2 linked regions of the Drosophila melanogaster genome follow. The protein of the gene in region 1 interacts with the protein of each later gene in a pairwise test. Each region holds a gene or a part of one and is shown in the gene's direction. Other genes may lie near its edges. The genes, in order: sws and Pka-C3.

Region 1 (5,191 bases):
TTTGCTTTTGCTGCTCCTTCTTTTTGGCTCTATGCTCTTCGCTGATTTTGTTGTTGTTGCTGCTGCTGGCGCTGTTTTTGTTGCTGTTGCCGAAGTTGTAACTGTTGTTTTTGTTGTTTCTCGGCGAGATCGAGATGTCACTTAGTTGCTTGTTTTATAGTATTAGTTTGCTGATTATTATCCTGTTTTCGCGTTTTCTATTTAGCACTCGCTCTCTCGTCTCCTTTTTGTCTGCCTTTTAGCCGGTGTTTTTTCAGTGCGTTTTCGTGTGCGTGCGTGTGTGTGCGTCTGTCGTCACACCCTTCACTTCGCCAATTCGAATTTCGAATATATATATCTCTGGGAATATCTGGAATATTTTTTGGCCAACAAATTTCTCACACTCACACAATGTAAAAAAAAGTGAAGAAAAAAACGTAAACAAATCACGGTCAGGGCGGCAATTAATTTGTAATTTCCTGCTCAAATTGGCAGAAGGCAATCGAACGCTTTGCTTTGTCCGGCTCTTTTTTTGGTATGGCAGAAAAGGATTTTCACGATTCGAGATTACTGATTGCAGGTTTTTCTAAGACGAGACGCATGCGCGCACAAAACTTTAAGTTTTACTTTTGCGAGAGAGAGGAGAGAACGACCGCTCACGAACTGCACTCCAGTGGGAATGAAACCCGTTGCGAGCGAAGTTGCGCTATTTGTATCGCCGGCCAGAGATGGCACTGTTGCCATTGCGGCGGCTTCTCACCATAGCAGCGCTCTGTTAGCACAGCCGTCTGGCTATCTTTGTAGCTTACCTAGTGAATTGGATACATGAAAAAGGAGTAGCTATATGTGCGATCCATTATTGTATAAGATGAGCATGTAAGAATTTTATTTTTAGCCTTCACAAAGGAATATCGATATCGATCGAATGGTTGACAAAATGACACACAAAGAAACATTTAGCGGGAAAAGAGCTAAGATCGCAGTGCATTCGAAACAACAGCCAGTTTGTTGTTGTTGGCTGTTGGCTAACAACAGCAGAAACAGACGTCTGCTAGCCAACAGCGCTGTTAGCTTTCGCGCGGCTTTTAAAATACGAAATCGTAACGGTCCCTGGGCAAAGGAAATGTGCATAACTTAAGTGCATTGCATATTTAATTGCAGCTGCAGCCAAAAACTGCATCCGAGACTGCAGCTGGCCACCCGAAAGACGCGTCTCGGCCGTTTTGCTTGGCTGGCAACCGAGACTCTGGTGGAGATGCTTTATGCTCTAATAACCCAAGCTGCACTTGCTTTTATTGGATGTTGCACGTTAGTTTCGGACCTCAGCTCCGATTCGGGTCCGGATTTCACCAAAATCCTTTAAATCAACACACATGAATATTAATACTGATTTTAGATTTTACAGTTGTTAATCACTGAATATTACCAGCGGCCGTCTCCGCTCTTCACGGCTCCTTGACTACCAGCAATCTTAAGCGGAGTTAATTATGCTCGCAAATTAATGTTTGACTGCATGCCAAGACATTTTCGATTCACCTGCACTGTTTTCAAATACAATTTAAGCTCTAGCAGCGCGCGCTCTGCTAAGTTTGTCGCCCCACAGCCATGTTCTTAGCTGTTGTCAACGCAGTGTCGCACTTAACATAGGGTTGTCAAGCAAGAAATAATGATAATGAAATTTAAAAAAAAAGTCAAATAAACAAGAATCTTACATTTATAAGCATATCAGCATATCACTTTTGTAAAAATTAAAATAATAATAATTTATAAGAATAAGAATATATATTATATTATTATTATTAAATATTATTATAATATTTATAAATAATAAGAATAATTTATTTATATATATTTGACTACATAACGTGCCTAACACAAATTTTAAAATTGGCTAAACGTTTTTTCTGATATGGACGCCCTAAGTATTATTTTCCAAATCAAATAATTCGGCTTGCATACACCTAAATTTTTCGAAAGGTTAACATTATTTTGAAATAACCGTTCTAAAGTCGACTTTGTATGGTCACTCTAGCGGGCTGCTCTACACAGCTGTGAAACAATCGATTTCCGGGCATATCGATGTTTTTCAATCCACCATCAAAGCGAATCGATACCAATAACAATAATTCTAGAGTGCATTTCAGTTTATTAGTTTGTAGTTACATAGCAAAATGCGCGTTTATTTCGGCTCAGTAAATTAAGAACATTTTCGTTACACGTTGCCACGCCCCCCCATCCAACGGCAAACCACCCCCCGCCTCCGCCTTCAAGACAGAGAGAGAGATAGAATAAAACAGAGAGAGAGCAACAACAACAATATATAACCAAAACGAAAGATTTCCGCAAGAAACCACAAAAAAAAACAACAATTGCTTTGGTTCTGATGATTCTCGTAACAGCAAAAACAACAAGATTTATAATCTAAATCAAAAGAAACTGTGCTCTCCGCTGTGCGTGGCTGTGAGTGCGTTTGTGCGGTACGGTGCGTGCATTATAACAATTATTGCACAAAAGGCATGACAAACGTGGGGCGGGGGTGTCTGTAAATGTGAGTGCGATAGAGCGCGACATATTCAAACAAGCTAGGGACGGAGTAGGTGAGCGAGGGAGAGAGAGAACGCGACGGTGGCAACAACAAAGGGCTGTGATTTTACTTTGCCCCCTCCACCCTGTACCCCGTCCCATCCATACACTTGCGTATTTACCAAATAAACGGAACATACATAAGCCAAAATAGGCAGAACAACAACAACATTAAGAGTCAACTAAACAGCAAATCGAATAGTTTCGTGGGAGAAAGGACAGCGTAGCAGAGTCATTGGAAAACTGGCCGCGTAAGGGAGCGCAATGGATGTCCTGGAAATGCTGCGCGCCAGCGCCAGCGGCAGCTACAACACAATATTCTCGGACGCGTGGTGCCAATATGTCTCCAAGCAGATCACAGCAACGGTAAGTGCACTTCACCCTTTCTTTGTCTTTTTATTTGCTTTGACTTTGGCTTGCTGTTTGTTTGCAATATGAGTGAGTCAGTTGGAAGACAATATGTGCGAGAGCGAGAGGACGCGAGGATTAGAAGGGCAGCTGGAAAGCTTAAAAAAAAATGCGATGCAGGATTACAGCTGTTCGGGCTTGTGTCCGTGCTTAACGCGCGGGAGAGAGAACGTGAGCGAAAAGAGAGCATGTGGATCTTACTTGAGCAGGATAACAGCTGTTTTAGGTTCATGTCCAGGCTACATATAATATAAGATTAATAAGTATTTACGTACTCACGTCACAATTCTTTTATATAATTCAAGAATTTTATTATGAATATAGCTTTTTTTTGTGACAACATCCATAAAGATTAGGTCCCCTGATAAAAATCACAGAATGAGCGATAAAGCAGACCTAAGTAGTTAAAGTAAAGTAAACAGACATTATTCAAGAAAACCCACTTGAGTATTGAGAGCAAACACCTGTTAGAAAATTCCACTGTATTTTGTATGCGATTTTTTAATGTGTAATCCCATTATCTTTATGGAAATTTTTCTAAAAAAAAATTTTTACAAAATGTTAGCTTGACGAATAAATGTCGGCCAGACATCATAGGTTAAGTACTTAGATTTATAGGTAGAAGAATCGAAATAGTCGCTGTTCCTGACTAGTTTACCATAACTTAGTTCTAGTAAACCCTATCAGCGGATTGAAGTTTAGACCCCAGCTAAAGTTTAGAACGATACAGGCTAAGGCAAGTGTGGATTTCAGGACTCTAATCTCTCTTAGAACCCAGCCAAATGATAAGAAAAGAGAAAAACCGGAAGAGAAAAGGGGAAACTTCCGTGTTTTCATTTGTCGCCACAAATCGAAATTGTTTTGTGGCCTTACATAAAACAAAACGAATGAAAAACAAAAACCACTGACTACAGTAGCCACATGATAACACCACACGACCATAGTATTGATAATGACACCCAGGCGACCCCGAAGCAAGCAAAAAAAAAAAAAGAAAAACTAAACCACCCGAGCTGATAACTATGATAACCGATTGCTAATCAGAAGCACGTGCAATCGTGGGCGGGGGGTGCGTACGAAATCAGTTTTCAATAATTCAATTAACCCCTTGGGGCCAAATCAATTTAGCCGCCTTGTGACTGCGCGAATTTTATCATTATCGTGTTGTTATGCGAGTGTGTGTATGTGTGTGCTGTCCGATTAGATCAAAGCAAATCCAATTGGATAAGTGCGTGTGTGGCGCAGCTTCGGCTTCCAATTAGACCGACTGAGTCAATTGGTATTTATGGCATTTTTTCTTGTACATTTTGCAAACCTGTTGTAAAAATAAACTGTAAACAAACAATAATTGCTGGGGGTAATAAAAGACAAACAGTAAGGTGCACAGTGAGAAAGAAAATGTGCAACTTATAGATTAAAAAAAAATGTTTATTTCTATCGAAAGAAATCGAAACTACGCCACTATAATTAACGTTTAATGAAGTGCGAGAAAACGCTACATTTTTCGCGCTGTGTAGTATCAAATGCGGAAACTGCAGACAATAACAAATGGGTAGCAGCAACAACAAATTGCCCGAGAAACTACTGCCACAACAAAAACAGCAAATGCAACAACAACAACCGCATCGAACAAGAACAACTCACTCAGAACCGCTAGCAACAAACAATAAAACAAACATACATACATACATACATACATATGTATGTGCAGCGACGTTGCGTCGCCGTTTCAATGTCAAAGTGCCGAGTGCAACAACAAGATTTAGGGAAAATAACAACAAAACACAGCTGATGCACTTGATTACACGGGCGTGACACTTGCTTTTGGGAAATTCCAAGTGTCTTCGTGCTAAATAATTCATCCTAAATAACTGGGCGACGTGGAAAATACGAAATGAAAATCATATTGGAGACGACATCAAAAACCCTTATATCCTTTCGTTTCAATGTCATAAGCTGAAGAAGAATGGGAAACTAATTAACCAATTAATTAATAATTAAGAAACGTGATTTAGCAAAGGAGTTGGCACATTAGTACAAGAATTCACATTTTTTTGTTTTGCATTTCAGCAAAAGTGAAAAACCATATAGAATCAAAAGCATATTATATCATAGTTAGATTACCCTTTCATTTTACTTCAAAAACACTTTCAAACACTTCAAACACTTTTAGTTCAATTTTAGATCAAGAATAACAAAAAAAAAAAAAAAAAACATTTTC
Region 2 (5,030 bases), on another chromosome or scaffold:
CTGAGTAGTGTTGGAAAGCTAGGATGGCACTTCAGCTGTAATCCGCGAGAAATGGCTTCTTAAAATAACTGTTTAGCTTGAAAATATTGAGATATTTTCTGTTCCACCTTAGTTTTAAACTTAAGTTTGACTTAAAGTCAAAATTTTTGATATAATAGAATTCTTGTTTGATCTCCATTCATTTATTTGTACTATTAAATTAGCTTTGGCCAGGCAGCTTAACAAATTAAATACGTCATCGTCCTGGTTAAAATATGTTTACACACTTGTCGATCATATGATTAATAAATAATATACATATCCTGCCCAAAGGACCACGTCAGCATAAGCCACCGGTGATTAATCAGCGCACAGTTGATTTAAAAATATAGCATCTTTATAATAGGTAAAAATATCAATGTATTTAACAGTCTGGACCGTTGGCATGCCACTATTTGGTATACAATAATGAAATTCGTCAAAAAGGGAGTCCAATGGACATGGCTACCCAATTCATAGACTAACACAACACATAAAACATTTAACGCTTAATCCGATACCCCCAGGTCCCCGCACCCTCGTAGCCAGTGATCCTGTACTATATCTCGTTGCGATCCTTCCAGCCATATTTCTGGCGCTGCTGCTTCTCCCTACTATTGCTATTACCCTGCCTATTGCCATTGTAGGAGGAGCTCTTCGGCGGGGCGCAATAGCAGGATCTCTGCTGGGAGTCCAGATAGGAGCGGCATCCCAGGGTCAATGTGCCGGTGAATAGCATCTTGGCAGCCGCCTTGCAGCCCTTCATCATCAGATCGCTGGCTATGGACTTCTCGTAGCTGTCGCAGTACTTGTACAAGCACCTCTTGAAGTCCAGGTCGCACAGCTCCTTATCGCTATTGCAGGTGTCGTAGCAGATATCGTGGTCATTGCAACATGTCTCCATCTCCTTGGCCGGCAGATAGTCTGTGCTGATCCTCAGGCCCAAGGAACCACATCCATCTGCGGTGGGGGTATAGAACTTATTCTGAACCGCTCTGGGCGCTGTAAGATAAACACACATATGGATGCTGGGGAATTTACATAATGCGCAGTGCGTCACCACACCTGGTCCTCCGATATCCGGTGCGGGGCACTGGTATATGCAGTTCTCGTCCACGGCCGCATCGAAAACCTCGTGGACCGTGCGAAATTTGCGCACCAGCACTATCAGGTTCTTGAACACGTCACCAAAGATCGCCTCCGCGGCTATAATGGCATCCCTTAGCTAAATCCGGGGAGAGAAGATACAGGAGTAACAGATACTAGCTCTCACAGATTTCCTACGAGAAGCGGTGCACCTTACGTGGACTATGGTGCTGGATCCATAGCCTGAATAGGCGTAGGTTAGGAACGTAAGAAGGTATATGGCCACCTTCATCCAAGAGAACTGCATGTTCGCTGTTTAATTCGTTTTTGAAGGGTCAGCTATTTGTTGTTTGCGCGTAATAATAAACTAAACTATGCGAAAGACATTTGTAGCAGTGTGACCAGGCGTCATCGTTCAAATATACCAACCGGCTCGGAAATCATACCAAACTGCATATGAGGTTGCATACTTTTAGGCACTGTCCTGACATTTCAAAAAATCCTAATGGGAAATTTAAAACCGTTTTTAAATATTATAAATAAAATACGTTATGATTTATAAAACAAAAAAATTTATGAAAAATAAAATCTTGTTGGCTTTGCAGAGAGTATTACAATTAATGCTATACATTAATAAAAGTAAATTGAATTTCAGAACACTGGCGCCATCTGGTACAGACAACTCAAAACATTTAACTGACAATACATATACATCGATATTTCGAGGGGGGAAAATTCAAAAAATTGGGAATAAACAAAATTTTCCTTAAATGGATTTGTGGCATATATTTTTGGAACGTATTTTAGTGGCTTGCAGAGTCAGCGCAAGTGTCTTCGCAAATTTCGGCTGCGGTTTGTATTCCAGCTGGAAGCTAAGTGAGTTGTTTCCCACAATTATACTTAGTGCGGCAAGGATACTAACATTTTTATGCCTTACAGTCTGCGGCGACCATGACTCGGCTTCCGGTCTGCGGGCAGGACTTGCCACGCCCACTCAAAGAGGTGAGTGCATGCAGTGTCCTTGCACTTGACAAACAGGACTGAAGCAGCCTCAAAACGAAATAGTGAAATAGGGAAAAAAAAGTCGCGCACAGAAAACGTAAACGCAAAGCTTGCTGACATCTCGTGCCTGCCTTCGCTTAATTATAACATCAAATTGAAATGCACACGGCAATTGTATGCGGCACCTGAAATGAGACTGTGGCACGCAGGCGTCACTCGTACTCGCATTTCGTTTGCACCTGACCTTGTTGGCCTTTATTACAACGGCCAGCGAAATCAACGTGCATAAACATGCGAACGCAACACCCGAAAACCGTTAAAGAGGCGCGCTCGCTGTTTGCTTAAAACCGAAACAGAGGGCTCGTAAATACACAAAACATATTTTCTAGATTTTCTCAGCAACGAATCGGCGCTGCCGCAAAGTCTACTGAAAACAAACAAGACACTGAGGAAAAACACCCCCACCATAAAAACACACATAAACCTTTTGATTTAAAACGACTTCTGGCTTGAATCGTAGGGTTAACTTATGTACAATATGTACATCATGTATGTATTTCATATCTGAATTACATCCTGTATGCATTATTTTCCATCTCTACTATAATAACCAAAAGTCTTAATATTTGTTGAAATAACACAAACATAAATAGGTATAAGTGTTTCTTGGAATATTTAAAAATTCACTGCTGACGAAAAGTCTGCTGGTACTCCTACACTTGGGAAAATCCCACATTTATTACAATTTTCCGACTTTTCGCAGGCAATGTGTCTGTTAAAGCAGTTAAAGAAAAACCAATCCAAAAACTACCCAACATTAGGATTATATTTATTTAATAATCAGGTAAAATCGTAAGATAAAAACGTCTATAAAATCTATTATTAAACGTTGTTAAAAGATAAAAAGATATTTCATAAGAAATATAATTTTGCATTTTCTTATTTATGATAGTAATGAAAGTTGTTATTACACAAAAAAAATATGATAAGAACAGTTAAAATATGTAAATTATTGTCTTCGCAGCGACAAAATATCTACTTTTTTGTCAATGTATGTATCTTCTAGATTAATTATTATATATATATGTATGTATGTAGATTTTGGTCGCTGCAAAGACTTTCAGTTCCGTGATGGTGTTGTCAATTAGGGCGCACACCATGCTGGCCGCCTTATCGCCATCGGTGATTCCGGACCGCCTCCGCCATCCTGATGGCGATGATCCTGTTGCCGCCAAAGCGTTTAGGCCCTCAAATGGAACGGCACTCGGGACACTTGGCCAAAACCAAATATCTGCACACATGGAGAGCAAACACAAACACATCCGACTATCAAGCGAGCATCCCGAAGCCATCTCTCCCTCTCCCCTTGGCTGCCAGCAGAAGCATCATTATTACCATCGTCATCATTGCCCACTGCCCCGCCCCTCCCGACCAGGCCGCCCCCTTTTCCGAACCACCACGACTGTGCTGCCAACTGCGACGCTGACGTCGACGTCGAGAGCTGTGGCAAGCGATTCGCAGATTTTACGTTTCAGTTTCGTGCAAAACGTGGAAGCGGCTGGTCAACCCAAGAAAAACACCACAGAACACTCAGAAATCATTCGAAAGAAAATTGGAAAATTTGACATTGGTCTTCAGACTAGTCAACAAAAAAAAAAACAAAACCTATTCAAAGTTTGCAATCATCACGTTTGATTAATTGCGCTCAGTTGGACTAATTTGGCAATCTGCTGGTTCAGCGGAGGAAACTAACAAAAAACCGAAGAAAAACTGCAAGTTGCGCTGTAAAAACCGGAAATTCTAGATCTCTCGGATCTCACGATCCCAGCGTATATAAACAAAACAAAGCGGCACCTTTAGACACACAACAACAACTAAAAGAAACCGAAGAAAAACCCACGAAAAAAGTGACACAAATAAAGCAAATCGCGATCGCTGTGTCCAGTCGATCCGCAAAAAATAATACCTATGGCCCCCGTATACCTATAACACCCATAATACCTATACCTATACCCCCTCCCGCCGAGAAACGCTGAGTGTTGAGTTTATTTCTGTTTCTGTGTCGGCTTCAGCGGTTTTTTCGCCTTTTTTTCTGTTATTATTGCCGGCCAGAAGCGAAGGAAAAATCGAAATCGACGGCTAGTCGCGGAAAATCGTGCGCTCTTAAAGTAACATATTTATTTTTAACAATTTCGCAAGCGTTCAAATTTTGCTCCAGCAAAAAATCAGAATCAGAACTCACCAACCAACCAGACAATCGCAACCTGAACAACAACAATAAATATAGATCGGCTGTGGGATCGTTAAGTAGGAAAAAAAGAAAAACAAAAACCAAAAGGCTAAAAAAACCAAAAACCAAAACAAAAACCAAACCAAAAGGCAACGACGACGGCCGGCAAATTTGGATCTCAAAATTTAGCTCGGTGAGTAATCGTGGGTAGTGTAAAAAGTGGAAGCCAGCAGCCAGCAACAAATCATAAATGCTTGCTTTCCAAAATAGAAACAAAATGTGGAGATAAATTCGTTTGATGATTAAGCTTTGAGTACTATAATTAGGCGAGCCGATTTAATTAGTACAATTAGCAAATTACACCTCACATGGCGGGCTAAATCTTGATATTTGGAGTGGAAGTGGAAGTTGGAAAGTGTGGGTTTTTTAGATACTTTGAGATCTTGCTAATGCAGTCATTAAGTTCGTTAGATTCGTAGATTAATGCGTCTTTAAACATTTAAATAGAGGTGGAAGATCTAACTCGTCATAATGTTAAAATAAATATGATAAATATAAATAAGAATAAAATGCTAAAATGTCTGATTTAATGGTATATATCCCATATATCCCACATATATATAAATTAAAAAAGGCGTGTAAAATATTTTGAATTTTCTTGAACATTTCAAAGTTCAGAAAGCGTGATAAATTA

The links.
Region 2: the proteins of sws (region 1) and Pka-C3 interact in a two-hybrid assay, tested with the Drosophila melanogaster proteins (one study listed by BioGRID).

Annotation. Positions count from the first base shown.
Region 1 is NC_004354.4:7,965,177-7,970,367, reverse strand, and holds the start of sws (swiss cheese), read left to right. Parts: upstream 1-2,131; 5' UTR 2,132-2,826; coding exon 2,827-2,928; intron 2,929-5,191. UniProt on the Drosophila melanogaster protein: Phospholipase B that deacylates intracellular phosphatidylcholine (PtdCho), generating glycerophosphocholine (GroPtdCho). This deacylation occurs at both sn-2 and sn-1 positions of PtdCho.
Region 2 is NT_037436.4:15,951,601-15,956,630, reverse strand, and holds the start of Pka-C3 (protein kinase, cAMP-dependent, catalytic subunit 3), read left to right. Parts: upstream 1-1,833; 5' UTR 1,834-1,874; coding exon 1,875-1,980; intron 1,981-2,043; coding exon 2,044-2,106; intron 2,107-3,637; exon of another isoform or gene 3,638-4,529; intron 4,530-5,030. Other genes in the region: GXIVsPLA2, read right to left, coding at 578-1,020, 1,084-1,243, 1,322-1,411. UniProt on the Drosophila melanogaster protein: Does not have an essential role in development.